Saccharomyces cerevisiae S288C: one gene and its partners. The gene in region 3 interacts genetically with the main gene of each other region. Each region holds a gene or a part of one and is shown on either strand. Other genes may lie near its edges.

Region 1 (4,284 bases), on a different chromosome or scaffold from region 3:
ACAGCCATCTAAATAACATAAGGAATGGAATAGCCTCTCCTTGAGCGGAGATTCAAGGGATTTACCTTTCTTAATGTCCGTTCTAATCTCGTTTGTGTCATTATCTGCTTTGGCGCTAGAACTCTCTGCCTTTAATAATTCCTCTGTCCTTTGGTCAAAGGAGGTCTTGACTCTGTACCAGGTTCTAGACATCAAGTCTAAGAAAAACGTCTCCTTACTTATCCACTCGTTTAAATTCCTAAAAGAACTACCGTTGTTTTTTTCCTTTGCAAAAAAGAGAATAAGCTCCTTTTGTAATTGCATAGAATTTACAACTGGCAGGTTCAACGGGATGGTTAGACCACCATGTACAAATATATTAGACCTTGTTAGCGTCACCGCTGAACCTGTTCTATAGTCCAGCGTTAACCTTTTCCTGGCGCATTCATCAAACTCGTTGGAATCGGAAGTCAGTGGTAATGGCGGAAGCTTCAAAGGGTAGCAGAAGCAAGTGGATGGTTGTAATAAAGGCATACTACGCTAAAGCAGGTGCAGATTGTTACTTGTCCTTTGGTTTGCACGCGCGCTATGTTATCTTATATATATAGTAAAACAGAAAAGTCTCTAAAGCGCCTTCACCATGTAATGTTTGCAAGTGTGGCTATAGGCACAGGAAGGAGAAGAGTTCTCAAACAATTGTGGTAAACGGACGCTGTGAACTTGAAATAGACTTTGCCAGACTCTGCGCTACCAATTCATCAGAAAGCCTAATCTTGCTTTGAACTTCTCTTACACTCCACGGAGTCTGCCTTAGCCACACGCCAGCCCCTGTGAGCGTCCTCTTTTTTTTTTTTTTCAGAACTTTCTGCCGTGGCTCGCGAGATAGGCAATTCTATGTCCATGATATTGGGTTTTATACATATGTAACTAGTGTTATAAAATAGTTGACAACCAGGCCATGCCAAAAAGACAGAGTGCCAGAGGGTATATCTCGATAATGGTCTTGCTCTTGGTAACCCACGAAACGGCGGCCACAGACCACATCAGGCACAGCGCCATGACCACCAGTTTCACGAGCGACAGGACCCTCACAATCCAGCGATTTTGCTTTCCAATATGGTAGGCCAATGGAAGTAGTATCTGCGAGACTAAGGCATTCAGCACTTGTGGGAATAAGCAATACCCGGAAATGGAGATGTACGAAATCAGCGACACCCTCTGGTGTGGCTTGGTGAGTCTCAGATGCAATGCCATCACCAGCAAAATGAACCAACTAGACACAAATAGGCTCGAGAACAGCGACCGCGCATGCGATACAAATAGAGAATACAATATGATAAACGCAAGGGGCGCCCACAGGTCGCAATTGGCTGAAATGTCGTTATCAGCCGCCCCTATCCCGTCATCAGAGGGGCTAAAGAATGAGGGGAAATGCGGGTATACCACTTGTTTCAGTCTGGAATTAATCTCCACCACATCTCGCTTTAGTGTTTGCAGCACAGTCTCGTCGAGCGTCCCTCTGCTGCCTGAATTCTGCATAGTTCCGCCTATGTTGTCAGCAACACCCCCGGAAGCAGCCAAAGGTGCATCTGGTTCTATGAAGTCGGGCTCAATCGTAGTGTCTTCTCTTCCGTATGACATTTTGCCTGCCCTCTTGTGACATATCTTTCTACAAATATTGCTAAAACAGCTTCATTTGCTATTGTAAAAGGGGACGAAAAATCACTGTGAGAAAATCATCACTCCGGGTAATCCAATTTTCATGAAAAAAGACGCGAGGAAAGTCAGAAAAGTCGTGCAAAACAGCCTGAGAGATCGGGTCGCTTAAACATTTTGACACGAAACTTATAATGAAATAAAAAGCTATACTTGGTGAAACTGCAATCTTAATAGTATCCCTCCGCACAAAAATACACACGCATAAGGATGGCCTCATTTGCTACTAAGTTTGTCATTGCTTGCTTCCTGTTCTTCTCGGCGTCCGCCCATAATGTCCTTCTTCCAGCTTATGGCCGTAGATGCTTCTTCGAAGACTTGAGTAAGGGTGACGAGCTCTCCATTTCGTTCCAGTTCGGTGATAGAAACCCTCAATCCAGTAGCCAGCTGACTGGTGACTTTATCATCTACGGGCCGGAAAGACATGAAGTTTTGAAAACGGTTAGGGACACGTCGCACGGTGAAATCACATTGTCTGCTCCATACAAGGGACATTTCCAATACTGTTTCTTGAACGAGAACACCGGTATCGAGACAAAAGACGTGACTTTCAACATTCATGGGGTGGTATATGTGGATTTGGACGACCCAAACACCAATACATTGGATAGTGCTGTCAGAAAGTTGTCCAAATTAACCAGGGAAGTCAAGGACGAACAAAGTTATATTGTTATTAGAGAAAGGACGCATAGAAATACTGCAGAGTCGACCAACGATCGTGTTAAATGGTGGTCCATCTTCCAATTGGGCGTCGTTATTGCAAACTCTCTTTTCCAGATATACTACTTGAGAAGATTCTTTGAGGTCACATCTCTAGTCTAAGTAAAGCAGGAAAATGTAGTTCATATCTATTTACTTTTGCCTACATACGATTACATACACGATTGGATAACCTGAAGTCGCGAATAATTCTCGGTTTCATACTTTTTACCTTGATCCTTCCACTGTTTTTCCCTGTGCCAATTACATGTAAATAAATATATACATATATATGGTCCAGGCGCGCCATAAAACAAATACAGGTTGTAGCGAATCAAAAAATGGGAAATACATACGAAAAACTTGAAAGAAACAAGTACCACAGGACATGCTGTGGTCCGTTTTTCCCCAGAGCACTTTTATGTGGGACTCTTAGAAGGGAAATAGCTCTGTTCATATAGAACAAAAAAAGAATAGCCCTGTAGGGGGCTCGAACCCCTAACCTTATGATTAAGAGTCATACGCGCTACCGATTGCGCCAACAAGGCTAATTCGTTGGAAAACGTCCCCATTTCAGGGAAACATAGCTCACGATGTTAATAACTGATTTGTAGCCGAGCCACATTGTATCAACGCGTGATTAACACATGTTTGGAATATACTGTTGGAACAAGAATCAACTAGTGCTCATATTAGCAATATATTACTATATACGGTGTAAGAAGATGTCCACTATAGTCAGCCATATTCTTGATCTTACGAAAGGGAACTGTGATGTAAAATTTGTGACACTGTGACACCTTCTAGTGAAATATAGGGCATTACCAAAGTCACTAATGAGTAAAAATACCAATTACTGTCCGTAGTTCGTCAGATTAGAATCCACTATATTTTCTTTGATTGGGAGTTAACGCTGCATACTTGTCTTGGGTACTGCGTTAACCATAAATCACATAAGCGTCATTCATTATCGTACCTCTGGGTAAGTGTTTTTCAGGAGTTTTTATATATAATATGCTGGCCCCCAAGGCGGATGAGGACTGTATACGGTTTTGACGTTAAAGTGTTATATGAATCGCAGTCGCATACACTAGTGGACCCCTAGTTCCGCGATACGTAGTTGACCCTCAGTACAGAGATTCCCACGATTAACGGGTGTACTGCTCCTGACTAATGTAATTTTGAGTTCACCTGTTGATGTGGTGCTGATACTGGCACCAGTACTAATGTTTGGAAGAACTCCGTAGCATTAAGTGGAGAGATTAATCCGATACTGAGCTGAATAGTTGGTTTCACTCCCGCAAAAAGATATCAATACAGTTTGCTAACAACTTGGGAAACCCTGATGAGAAGAATTAGCGGTCATCCTGAGAAATAGGTGACCATTTAAATGGTCACTTGAATTCGATTTTCCAGTAAGGGAAGTGTCATTCGGAATCCAGAATATACCAGAAATAAGCAATTTTGCATGATAGTGCTGTTATCCTTTCTTGTGTTTTATACGATATCATACATCACCCCATTACGTTATTTATCTTGCATTTCAGTTTTTACTGGGTTTACCCTTTTCGCGATTTATATCATATTATCACCGCACATAATATACTAGTAACATTACTATTCGTCGACAAACAATAGCTTGTTTTGATTCCAGTTCTCATAACATTTGTGTACCTATTCTTTTGCCGTTCCTTCGCTATTTGGTATTGTCATCTAAGTTCGTCTATTAAATTTCCTTTTTAGGAAAAGCGCCTAATAGGCCTTTCTTGAAGCTTTTTTTTTTTCTTTCTTTAATCTACAATAATAACAAAATATTTCATTCTTAAGTGATTTACAGCGAGTATCTTACACTTCGCCACCGGTGGATAGGAAAAATAGACTTACCAAAGG
Region 2 (4,477 bases), on a different chromosome or scaffold from region 3:
GCAGGCTGCCAAAAAAATAAAGCATTTATGAAGGGGGTTCAGCAAGATGCAATCGATGGGGGAAGATTATTTTTTAACATCGTAAGATCTTCTAAATTTGTCATCGATGTTGGTCAAGTAGTAAACACCACTTTGCAAATGCTCAATGGAACCTTGAGGTTTGAAGTTCTTCTTCAAATGGGCATTTTCTCTCAATTCGATGGCAGCTTCGTAATCCTTTGGAGTTTCGGTGATTCTCTTGGCTAATTTGTTAGTAATATCTAATTCCTTGATAATATGTTGGACGTCACCAACAATTTTGCAAGAATATAGAGATGCAGCTAAACCGGAACCGTAAGAAAATAAACCAACACGCTTGCCTTGTAAGTCGTCAGATCCAACATAGTTTAATAGAGATGCAAAGGCGGCATAAACAGATGCGGTGTACATGTTACCTGTGTTTGTTGGAACAATCAAAGATTGGGCAACTCTCTCTTTGTGGAATGGCTTAGCAACATTAACAAAAGTTTTTTCAATGTTCTTATCGGTTAAAGATTCGTCATAATCGCGAGTAGCTAATTCGGCGTCAACTTCTGGGAACAATTGAGGATTGGCTCTGAAATCGTTATATAGTAATCTACCGTATGATTTTGTGACCAATTTACAGGTTGGAACATGGAAAACGTTGTAGTCGAAATATTTCAAAACGTTCAAAGCATCCGAACCAGCGGGATCGCTAACCAACCCTTTAGAAATAGCCTTCTTGGAATAACTCTTGTAAACTTGATCAAGAGCCTTGACGTAACAAGTTAATGAAAAATGACCATCGACGTAAGGATATTCGCTGGTGAAATCTGGCTTGTAAAAATCGTAGGCGTGTTCCATGTAAGAAGCTCTTACAGAGTCAAATACAATTGGAGCATCAGGACCGATCCACATAGCAACAGTACCGGCACCACCGGTTGGTCTTGCGGCACCCTTATCGTAGATGGCAATATCACCGCAAACTACAATGGCGTCTCTACCATCCCATGCGTTAGATTCAATCCAGTTCAAAGAGTTGAACAACGCGTTGGTACCACCGTAACAGGCATTAAGCGTGTCAATACCTTCGACGTCAGTGTTTTCACCAAACAATTGCATCAAGACAGACTTGACAGACTTGGACTTGTCAATCAGAGTTTCAGTACCGACTTCTAATCTACCAATTTTGTTGGTGTCGATGTTGTAACTCTTGATCAACTTAGACAAAACAGTTAGGGACATCGAGTAGATATCTTCTCTGTCATTGACAAAAGACATGTTGGTTTGGCCCAGACCAATTGTGTATTTACCTTGAGAAACGCCATCAAATTTCTCTAGCTCAGATTGGTTGACACATTGAGTTGGGATGTAAATTTGGATACCTTTAATACCGACATTTTGAGGTCTGGTTTTTTGTTCAGCGGTCTTTTGTTTTTTTAGTTCAGTCATTTGCAAGTTTGTATTGTGTAATTGTTGTTGCTTTTGCGGCCTAAGTCTTCCTTTAATACCACACCAACAAAGTTTAGTTGAGAGTTTCATGCTGCACCTTTTATAGTAATTTGGCTACGAAAATTGGCGAGGCACCCAAACAGTTCCGCCCGATGAGGCCGAATGGAGCCTACTTTCAACACACTCGTATAATTAATAGCCCGGTTCATTTTCGACACGATACCGCAGCCATGGAGATTGTGGGTATGATTACTCTATAGTATTATGTAATATTGTATGGAAAATTTTTCTATTGTATATACGAAGCTTATTCCGTTAAAAGACGAAGACTTGATCGTCGCCAGAACTTCTCGTTGAATTGACCTTCCAGCCCAGTTCTTTAGCGTATTGAAGGGCCAAGTTGTTCATTCCATCAGGTCCACAGATCAAGAGTCTGTTATCCTCCGAATATTCCGGCAGATACCTGTTCATCTGGTCCTTGGTGATGTAGCCGACATCTCCGGTCCATCTGTCGGATGGATAGTGTACCACGTAATGGACCTGGAAATGTGGGTATTTTTCGGCCATCTCATCCAGTTCGTCCTTCAATAGAATGTCATTTTCAGTCTCATTGGCATATAGCAGGGAGACTTTCGTCAAATCTTCAGGAACGGTGATGATTTCATTCAAGATCTGTAGGACTGGCGTGATACCAGAACCACCGGCTACGATACCTAAATGCTTGGAGGAATTTGGTTCGTAGTTCAAAGTACCTATTGGCCCCTTGAAATCCACGGTGTCACCAGAATTTAAGCCAGCGAAATATTTGGAGACTTTACCATCAACGTATGCTTTCACCACCAAATCCAAGTATCCACTTTCTAGTTTAGAACTGATCGGATTATAGTATCTGACCTCTTGTTTGCCGTCAATTGGAACGCGTACAGCAACATGATGACCAGCGGGAATGTCCAAGCTTTCCAGTCTTGTCTTCAACTTAAAACGATACAGGGCGGTATTCTTGGAAATTATGGTTTGATCTTCCAATTCTAACGAAGTCCACCTATCTGGATACAGTGATCTTCTTCTTTTGTAGGCAGAGTATGCTCTGACGAAGATGATCATGAAGAGAATGGGTAAACTCCACAGGATTTTCAATTCACCAGACATATACGTGGTGATTGCAACACCAACAACGAATAGCGCGGCAGGAATATAGATCCCGTGGACAGGTTCGTCTAGAATGTTAGTTCCTTCTATGTCTTCTTTTGACATTTTCTTCACGCGGTTCTTGGAGTGCTTCCTTTTTTGTGATAAGTTTGGGTGGCAACGAGATGAGCTCAAAACTCTTTGTTTTTTATGGGTATTTTTGTCTTAGAATATTTTCAAATTTTTCAATATTCCGCGGAACATAGGGAAAAAAATAAATTTAATAAGCTATTGTTCTAACTGTACACCTAAAGGTAAGTGAAAAATAATTCGATAATTAGAGGTATCTTTATTTGGATAGAATATGCATATATATATATAAGCGTATATATATATATATATATATATGTATATACATATGGACATTAAGTAAATATAAATCTATAAGTGGGTATCGGGATCAGAGCCACTTTCTTAGAACTCCTCAGCGTAAGAATCGGCACCCACTTCAATATAATCTCTTTCTAAGGCAGCTAAATCTTCTCTAGCTTCGGTGAACTCACCTTCTTCCATACCTTCACCGACATACCAATGGACGAAAGCACGTTTGGCATACATCAGGTCGAATTTCTGATCGATTCTCTTCCAAGCGTCCGCGATGGCAGTGGTGTTGGATAGCATGCAGACAGCTCTATCCACATTGGCTAATTCGGAACTTGGTATCACACTTGGTGGCTCATAACAAATACCAATCTTAAATCCTGTTGGACACCAATCCACCATTTGTACTGTTTTTTTATTCTTCACCTGTTCGACGGCTCTTTGGACATCTCTGGTCACCACGTCACCTCTGTATAACAAACAGTTAGCCATGTACTTCCCCTTTGTTGGGTCACACTTAACCATTTGATTGCCCGGTTCGAAACAAGCGTTTGTGATTTCTGACACGGAGTTGGATTCATGGGTGGCCCTCTTCTTGGACAAGATGGGTGCGTAGGAAACCAAAGGGAAATGAATTCTTGGATATGGTACCAAGTTGGTCTGAAATTCGTTCAAATCCACGTTTAATGAACCATCGAACCTCAAAGAGGCTGTAACAGATGATATCACTTGGGCAATCAACCCGTTCAAGTTGCTGAAGCTTGGTCTAGAAATTCCCAAGTTCCTCTTGCATATATCGTAAATGGCTTCGTTATCGACCATAAACGTACAGTCTGCGTGTTCCAGGGTGGTATGCGTGGTTAAAACCGTGTTGTAAGGTTCCACGACGGAAGTAGACAATTGAGGCGCAGGATAAACGGCGAATTCCAATTTGGATTTCTTCCCGTATTCATACGATAAGTTTTCTAATAACAGGGAACCTAAACCGGAACCAGTTCCACCACCGAGGGAGTGGGTGAACAAGAACCCTTGTAAACCGTCACATTGGTCGGCCATCTTTCTAATTCTTTCTTCAACTTCATCCACTATTTCTCTACCCACTGTATAATGGCCTCTTGCGTAGTTATTGGCGGCATCTTCCTTACCGTTAATCAATTGTTCTGGATGGAAAAGCTCCTTGAAACGTCCTGTACGTACTTCATCGATAACATTGGGCTCTAAATCCACGTAGATTGCTCTTGGGACGAATTTTCCGTACCCCGTTTCATGGAAGAATGTAGAAAATCCTTCTTCACCTCCCTTAGGTTTTGACAAGCCATCCTCCAAATGGCCGTCTTCCTTGATGCCATGCTCTAGGGAGTACAATTCCCAGCATGCATTACCTATTTGACAACCTGCTTGACCAACTGTTGTAAAAAAGAAAAATAACAAAAGTTCCAGCAATCCTCCGAAGAAGAAGACACAAAAATCACTCCCCATGTAATGAGGTCAATTATGAGCTTTTTCGTCCGAGTAT
Region 3 (8,361 bases):
TTAAAGATAATGATACAAAACTGAATACAAAGCATTCCAACGAAATACAGTTGATGGAAGTGTTTTGCGCTAAGGAAGATTAACATATAACCACACAACCATCTTCGAAGAAAAACTCAAAAAAAATCTTACCTCTTCAGTACCTAAAATGACATACATAATTCGACTTTTTGCTTGTCCATATGTTTTACATCTATATATATTCGTTCTTTTGTCACATTTTTGTTTACTCAGGCCCTTGTCAAAGGGTTGTTTACCTGGATGACAATACCGTTTTCATTGTTCTTAACCACGGAAACCTGTGTCAAATCACAGACTACATAATCTGCTCCTGCGTCAAATAAAACGCTCTTGTCATACGAGGATGTTATACCCACAGTAATGGCGCCCATTGCTTTGCCGGCCTTTATGCCCACGGGTGCATCTTCGAAGACAACATACTTCAGATCCTGTTTACCAGTTAATTGCAAATCTTGACGCAATAAATCACGAGCTCTTGAATAACCCTCGGGATCAGGCTTACCGTTCTTCACGTCAAACCCAGTAATGAAAACTTTGGGCTTTCCAACATTTTTCAATATTGTCTCGAACCATGAAAATGCCAAATATGGAGAACCAGAGGTAACGATAGCCCATTTCCTTTCAGGTAACTTTTTTTGAGTCTCAGTATCTACATCTAACGATAACAGTAAGTTCTCTGCACCAGGAATAAGGCTTACTGTGTCCAAGTAACTATGGGCAATATCTTTTTCTAGAGCAAGAACACCTTTATTGTCTGTATCATCCAATTTAGGGAAAAACCTTCTCAAAACCTCTTGTGTTCTTGCACCATGAGAATGCTTAAATAACTCGGAAGGATCAACACCGTATTCGTAACACAACTTGGTCCATGCTTTCTCTGCGGCCACTGTTGTACTCACTATGGTACCATCTAGGTCAAAAAGACATAGATCAGCTGAAAATTCTGCCATTATCCTTTGAACTTCTTACGTGAGTGGCAACGTAACCAACAATCTCCATCAGAACGTTATTTCCAACAGAATAATCGCGATCATTAAAAATGAAAATAAAATTAAATAAAATACTTGCAATAAAAAAGTTCCATGAAATTTATATCATTAGATGGTACCAGAGCCTATAATCTCATAGATATACGCTTCCTTCTATAGCTGAACAACGGTTGTTTGAAATGTCGGGGTTAATGTCGGAATATATAGGAATACTCTGACGTGTCTGTATCACGGAACATAACCGTGATTGAAAATTACAAGAAGCCAAGACTCTAAAGGATATGCGGTAGAAGGCGTGTGTAGAAGAGCCCAGTGTATATTTTTTCACCGATAAGATGAAGTAGATAAACGGAATTTCTGGCAAGTTACTTGGCAAAAGGATACATAGCACGAATTACTTTATTATAAATATTGTAACTGATTGCCTTGAATTGATGTTAATGAGAATCCTAGGACCCTTGGTTTGGTCATTAGCTTTTCGTTTTTCTTTGCGCGTCGTTAAGAATGAAAAAGTTCTAATATGTATCGTATCATAAACGACAGCAACTTCGAGAAGTACATTGAATGGAAATCATTCTGCAACACCTTTATAGCTTCAACATAGGTTAAGTTTTAAGCATTTCAAGTGCTTTTCAATTAAGCTATAGAAAGTTCTTTCGTTAGAAAGAAAGACAGTTAAACAAGCGGCAAAAGTTGATGAGCAATGAATTGGTCTTTTCTACTACAGCTGGTAATAACAATATTGTTAATTGTGCTGGGCGCCAACTGGTTGCTAAGCTCTTTTCTACTTGATTTTAAGAGAGATTTAACAGGGGTGGCTTTGTCACAGCAATCTAGCATATCCAGTGTTCGTAAAGAAAATGAAACAGCATATTATCGAAGCATTTTAGTGCCCACAGGATTCCCATTGACGACAGGATTAGGGCTATCTTTAAAATACAAAATAAGAAATGGCAATTTCGGTGATGTTTGGAATGCCATAATGGAAGTTTCCAAGGGAAAAAACATAATTAAATTTACAGGAAGAGAAAAAAGTTATTCGTTGAGTGAACTTAATGGTATGGCCAAGCGCATATTTCCGAAACTTTCCAATAAGAATTTCAAAAATATCGGTATAGCTAATTCTATTGCTACCGTAGAGGGTTTTACTCTCTCCTTGGCTTCCATGATGACCTCTATAAGAACAGGTTCAATACCTCATTTCTTGCCAGCTGTTCCTAGACAACGACTAGAAGATGTTGATGTCCTGATCATCGACTCATGGAAGTCTTTTAAGATGCTAAACGGCAGCGAGGATTGGTACAAGCTTATTGTTGTTTGCGATGATCCTATCGAATCACTACAATTTGATGCGAACTGTGATGTTATCACTTGGAAAGAACTTATCGACGGTTTTACCAAGGATACAGAGTACCAATACACCCCGCCAGATGACAACTCTGATGATAAGAAACTTTTTGCATACGTAACTTCACCATGGAATGGAACTAATAGTTTTAATCAAATCTGTCTGGTGAGTAATATAGCGGAATTCATCAAAGGGTTCCCCTTGGGAAATGAATTGAATAGTAATGAATACCTAACCATTTCGACAAAATTGGCAAATTCTAGTGCAAGCCTACAAATTTGGGGAAAGCTTTTTGCAGTTTTGCTGCATGGTGGGTCTGCATCTTTCATCAATCCTACAACGATAGATTGCGAGTCGTTGCAAGAAACTACGTTACTGTTTACCGAAACAAAGGATGTTGTCAAATTAATTGATTCTAATTCTAGAAGTGGGCTGCTGAATAAAATCTACTTATCCTGGGCCACGAACTTACTGAGCGAGGGTATTTTTACGAAAATTGCCAGAATCGAGCCACATTCTCTTGAAAAATTAAGATGTGTTTATTTGGCAGATAATGTGAAAGATGCTGAGGTTATTTCGACATTTCCTGAAAAAATTCCTCAGCTAAAAAAGACTAACCGAAGAATCACCCCAAGCACTGAACAATTGAATAAAATAAGAGCTCAATTAGGATCCCGTGTAGTCCTCGAGTTATATTGTCCCTACGCTATCATGGGACCTGTGGCACATACCAATTTTTATGACTATAGGGTTTTTGGAAAATCTGTGGACGATAACGTTGTATGTTATGGAACACTAAGTACAACATTAGAAGGAAAAATGGTAGAAACGGAAACAAACCCTCATTTGAACATAGAGAAGAAGCAGGGTATGTTATGTATTCGTGGTTTTAGCATAGGTAAACCAGTAGAGTCCGATCGTTTAGAGAAAGCTTTGCATTTAGCTGAAAGGTTTGGAGGAGGTGAAGGATGGATGCCTCTAGTTGGCGTTTTTGGACTATTTGGCCAAGACGGTTGCTTATACATCTATAATCAATGAGCATTATCTATCGCTTTATTATTTATTATTTATTATTATCATTATTATTATTATCATTATTATTATTACTACCAATACCTTCTATATCCCTGTGATCAGCTAAAATGATTCAAATAACTGTCATTTTAATCGTACATTTTATATTAGGCCTAATGTGCTGACGATCAGTCATATTTCAAATGGCCATCAACACAGTTCCAAAAGTCTGTGATATATTTTGTTTGTTCGTCACTTTCGTTATTAATTGTTCCCCTCACAGCCAAATATGTCCTATTGTCGACATCAATACTCCATTCACCTGGATTGGCACCTACTACACGACCGCCCACTTCTTTCAAAATACACCATCCAGCACACACGTCCCACGAATAGCAACCACCATCCCAATAACTATCAAGGTACCCCATAGCAATATATGCCATTGTCATTGCAGATGATCCTAAATTTCTGAATCCATGAACAAAACCGTAATCACATGATAGTAATTTTTCATATGTGGCCATTTTTGTCTGAAAATTCTTTCCCTCTCTAGCGGAACCTGGCTGTAATGCCACTACGGATTTATTTAGTATTAGAGAACCCATAGATTCCAATTTTGATTTATAGTCATAGTCCTTGTTGTTAACTCTCATCCCATTTCCTTTAGAAGCGGATACCAGAAGATTAATGTGAGGATTATATATAACGCCTACTACGGGCTCTTTGTTTACTGTGAGCCCAAGAGAGGTACAGCTAAATGGGAAATCATGAACAAAGTTTGTAGTCCCATCAATTGGATCAATAATAAAGGTAGGATCATCAGTAATCACGGTCTCCCCTTTCACATAACTTTCCTCTCCAATAAACTTGAAAGTTGGATATTGGGTTTTTACCGATTCCCAAATTAACTTTTCGACCTGTTTATCGATAGCAGTTACAATATCAACGCTCCTGGAGCCAGTCTTCAAGTCATAATCCTTTTGAGTGCCGGACTTGGATTTGATGATTGGTCCTACTTTTTCAGTAGCCAGTTCACAGAGGAATTTCTCGATAGAAGCTAGATCAATGGTCATGGTATATGTGTATATGCGTGTACCAGCTGTTGATTTCCTTATTCATCCAAAAAAAAGAAAACACTGGGGTTATTTAACAAGCAGTTAAATGTGAAGTAAGAGATAAAAGACCTATATTAATACCATTTTTGGAAAAGCAACGTGCGCAACAATGAAAGTCACTCGATGCATCCATTATTCAAAAAAAAGTTTTTTTTTTTTTTCCATACATCATCAGATGAAAAAATCTCGCTATGACGCACGCCAGTCAATATTCACTCAGTTCTTCCGAAAGGAAGCAGAAGAAAGTTCTCTATACTTGGAAATGTGTCAATGAAGATGTTATCAGATTCATTTTCTGCTAGCTACTATATTTCTACATAAGCAAGTAGTAATCTCTTTATTAATTACACGTGGTTTTGACTCATTGGCATATGTATATATTTGTGTTGTAGGTGCTCGTGAAAAAAAAAAGCTATTGATCATACTCATGCTCACGCAAGTAGGTAGCAACGATTTCACGATCTCTGCTCACCCATTGCGCCTTGGATCTAATAGTGTCTAAGGCTTGAGCCAGGGTTTGATCAAAACCTTTAGTGACCTTTCTACTATAGAACGCACTAATTTTTTCAAGGGCTTCAAAAGAGGTAAAATTAGTTAAACCCAATGTCAACACGCCACCCAACACAGGCGAGCCTGGCTGTAATCTCTTAGCAATTTCGTCCCAGTGTTCTTGCATCCAAGCCCATAACCTTTCAATACCCTTCTTATGAACTCTAATGCCTTGCATTGGGATGTAAAAATCTTGATTCAAAACTGTACCATCTAGCAGATAAGACAATGTCCTTTCTAAAAGTTCTTTGTCTTCAAATCTGCCCAAAGCTCTCAAAGCGATAATCTTTTCTTCTGACGAAACAGGGTTTTGATAGATGTTGAAAATCTTTTCGTAATTGTTTTCTCCGCCAAGTCTGGCAACGGTGTTGAAAACAACTGCCTTGAACAGTGCAGGTATGGCCTGTTTGTTCCCATTGGCGTATTCCTCAAACATTTCTACCGCAATCGATTGCATTTTTTCATTGCCAGAAGTGCATGCGGCACTGAAAAGGGTCACTTTTAAACGTTGGATAGCAAAGGAGTCGTCTTCGCCAATATTCCACCCCAATTCAGAAAGTTTGTTAAGTACTAGATCCAAAGTAAATTTATCTAGAGCATTCAATATATCCTCTGGTTCGAAGACCCAAGTAGATTTCAGAGCGGATAAACTATTAATGATTTGTTCCCAAACAACAAATGAATCCTCGTTTTTCCAATTAGAAATTAAATTCAAGAAGTTAGTAGTAGAGGTATAGCCAGATGCAGAAAGGGCTTTTGCATCTGCGACTAAGCCAACACGATCCTCTACGGATAATAAATTTGCCTGTTTGGATAGCTTAGCCCATCTTTCGTCAGAATAAGAGGTAATGAAAATACCAGATTGGTCACCATTAATCTTGAAGAACTCTTCATTCTTTAATTCGAAAGTAGCAGATTTTTCGTTCAATACCAATGTGTTATCGATACCTGTACTGTCTTTCAAAGCTAACAAAATGGGGTATATGGTTGTATCTTCCTCTTCTTTAACATCACCGGTACTTAAATAACGGTGTTGAGTTAATGTGATTTTGTTCTTGTGTTCCTTGACAGATAACACTGGAAAACCAACACGTTTTGTCCAGATGTTCATCACCGAACAAACGTCCTTGCCAGAGGCATCTGCTAAGGCGTCCCACAAATCTCCGGTCTTTGCATTACCGTATTTGAATTTATTCAGGTATTGGGACACACCTTTAATAAAAGTCTCTTCACCCAACCATTTGGAAATCATCCTCAATAAAGAAGATCCTTTAGAATAAGAAATAGCATCAAAAATTTGATTGATTTCGTCCGCATTATTAACGGGAACTTCAATTGGATGGGAAGATCTTAATGAATCTAAATTTAGAGCACGTTGTAAATTGTCAGTAACATATTGCTCCCAAACTTTCCATTCTGGTTGAAACTTGTTGCAAGAGTACCAAGACATCCAAGTGGCAAAACCTTCATTCAACCATAAGCCTTCCCACCAATCCATGGTGACCAAGTTGCCGAACCATTGGTGGGCTAGTTCATGCTGAATAACCTCAGCAACTCTTTGAATGCGATCTAAACTCGAATTTTCTATGTCTAATAACAAATCAATAACTCTATAAGTCACTAGCCCCCAGTTTTCCATAGCACCAGCAGAAAACTCATGAACTGCCACCATATCCATCTTTGGCAATGGATATTCTATGTTGAAGGTGTCCTCAAAGAATCTCAAGGTCCTAGCAGCTAAATTGGCTGCAAACTGACCAAATTTTTCGTCCCCTGGGGTAGAATAAACTCTTACTGGAATACGGAAATTATTGCTTTCCACGTATCTCAGGTCAGCTACAATAAATGCTACTAAGTACGTAGACATCTTTGGAGTCGTGTTAAAAGTTGTATATTTCTTACCCTCTTTGATTGTTTCATTCCTGACATCCATGTTGGACAAATGAGTCAGAAACGATTCAGAGACCAAAGTTACTGCAAAAGTCGCCTTCAAATTTGGTTCGTCAAAACAAGGAAAGGCTCTTCTAGCATCTGTGGCTTCCATCTGAGTAGTAGCCATGTACTTCGTCTCCCCTGTGACTTTATCCGTATACTTAGCCCTGTAAAATCCCGCCATCTGATCATTTAGAATACCGGAAAAGATAATTTCTAACTTCGCAGAAGGTCCTAGGTTTTCAAAAGTTCCATTAGGAAAGACAAGAGTAGCTTTTTGTTGGTTTTCGTTTTTGTTAACTTCAATGGCATTGACACCCTCAATACGTGCAGAATGGAAATCTATTTCTAAGTAATTTATTTGCACAGAGTTTATCGAATGATCATTAATCTGCAGGTCAATTTTTAATGACCCTTCAAACGTAAAAGCACGGAAATTAGGTTCTAGTGTAATGTCATAATGCAATGGGGTAACGTTGTTTGGCAGTACTTCACGGGACATGGTATTAGCTGAGAGGGCAATTTGGCTTGCTTGAACAGGAACCCTCAAAGAAAAATCACGAATTGAATAAGCTTCCCTGAAGATAATTCTAAATGATTAGCTAAGATTACTCATAAAGTCAAAAGTTTGATCGCTAACAAAAGGGAAAAAAACGGAAAAAAAATAAAAAAATGTGTCAAACTCCCACAGCCAAGTCCAAGAGTACGAAAAAAAACTTTCACAACGAGTTCAAAAAATGTGGGATGAAGACTCCCGTTTTTCACCGCCTAGAAAACAGCGTTTGCTGAGAAAAAAAATAAATCATCGAGAAGAAGTATGTCATCATAGGATGTTCCCATTGTAAGGTGATGTGTAACATACTCGAACAAAGAATGTATAGAGCTGAATATTTCTCCTTTAAATTTCAAAGAAAATGAGAAGGAAAATCTCAAACAGAAACTTCGTTCTTTTTCTCAAGTAAGCAAAAGCTTATTGAGACAAAGCGGAATAACTACGATATTAATAACGTTGATGAAGCTCGAACAAAGTTAGCGTCGGTTATGCTTGCCTATATAAAGATATATTTGCCTTACATTTTCGTTGAACGTAGAATGATTTTTGCTTTTAATAAATTTTTTGTTGTTCTTTCAGTGCTTCTTCAACTTTGATACGAAAGCAAGTGCATTAGTACAACAAGAACTGGCCACAACTATACTATACTCATTTTTTCTTGCCCGTGTTTTAAATGTTTTCATCCACAGCATTTGATGGGATGATTGGAAGTGAGACGTTCGAGAAAATCCATATTTTGAGTCAAGAATTCAGATAATATACTGAGATGATTAGGTATGGCTGGGTTCTACAAAAACACAAATATCCGGCTAGCAATGATCACTGAGCAAATTAAAG

What was found. Genes that interact genetically often act in the same process or in processes that back each other up.
Region 1: mutations in DDE1 (region 3) and EMP24 together harm fitness more than expected from each alone (negative genetic interaction), as found in Saccharomyces cerevisiae (2 studies listed by BioGRID).
Region 2: mutations in DDE1 (region 3) and PGA3 together harm fitness more than expected from each alone (negative genetic interaction), as found in Saccharomyces cerevisiae (2 studies listed by BioGRID).

The regions. Positions count from the first base shown.
Region 1 is NC_001139.9:120,927-125,210, reverse strand, and holds EMP24 (Emp24p), read left to right. Parts: upstream 1-1,905; coding exon 1,906-2,517; downstream 2,518-4,284. Other genes in the region: MDS3 (Mds3p), read right to left, coding at 1-513; YIP4 (Yip4p), read right to left, coding at 913-1,620. UniProt on the Saccharomyces cerevisiae protein: Constituent of COPII-coated endoplasmic reticulum-derived transport vesicles. Required for efficient transport of a subset of secretory proteins to the Golgi.
Region 2 is NC_001145.3:18,994-23,470, forward strand, and holds PGA3 (cytochrome-b5 reductase), read right to left. Parts: upstream 2,707-4,477; coding exon 1,768-2,706; downstream 1-1,767. Other genes in the region: ERG13 (hydroxymethylglutaryl-CoA synthase), read right to left, coding at 67-1,542; alpha-tubulin TUB3, read right to left, coding at 3,055-4,367. UniProt on the Saccharomyces cerevisiae protein: NADH-dependent cytochrome b5 reductase that reduces coenzyme Q6 at the plasma membrane and mediates lifespan extension by calorie restriction by shifting fermentative to respiratory metabolism, probably through modulating the NAD(+)/NADH ratio.
Region 3 is NC_001140.6:193,838-202,198, forward strand, and holds DDE1 (Dde1p), read left to right. Parts: upstream 1-1,713; coding exon 1,714-3,396; downstream 3,397-8,361. Other genes in the region: DOG1 (2-deoxyglucose-6-phosphatase), read right to left, coding at 231-971; inositol monophosphate 1-phosphatase INM1, read right to left, coding at 3,561-4,448; AAP1 (arginine/alanine aminopeptidase), read right to left, coding at 4,903-7,473.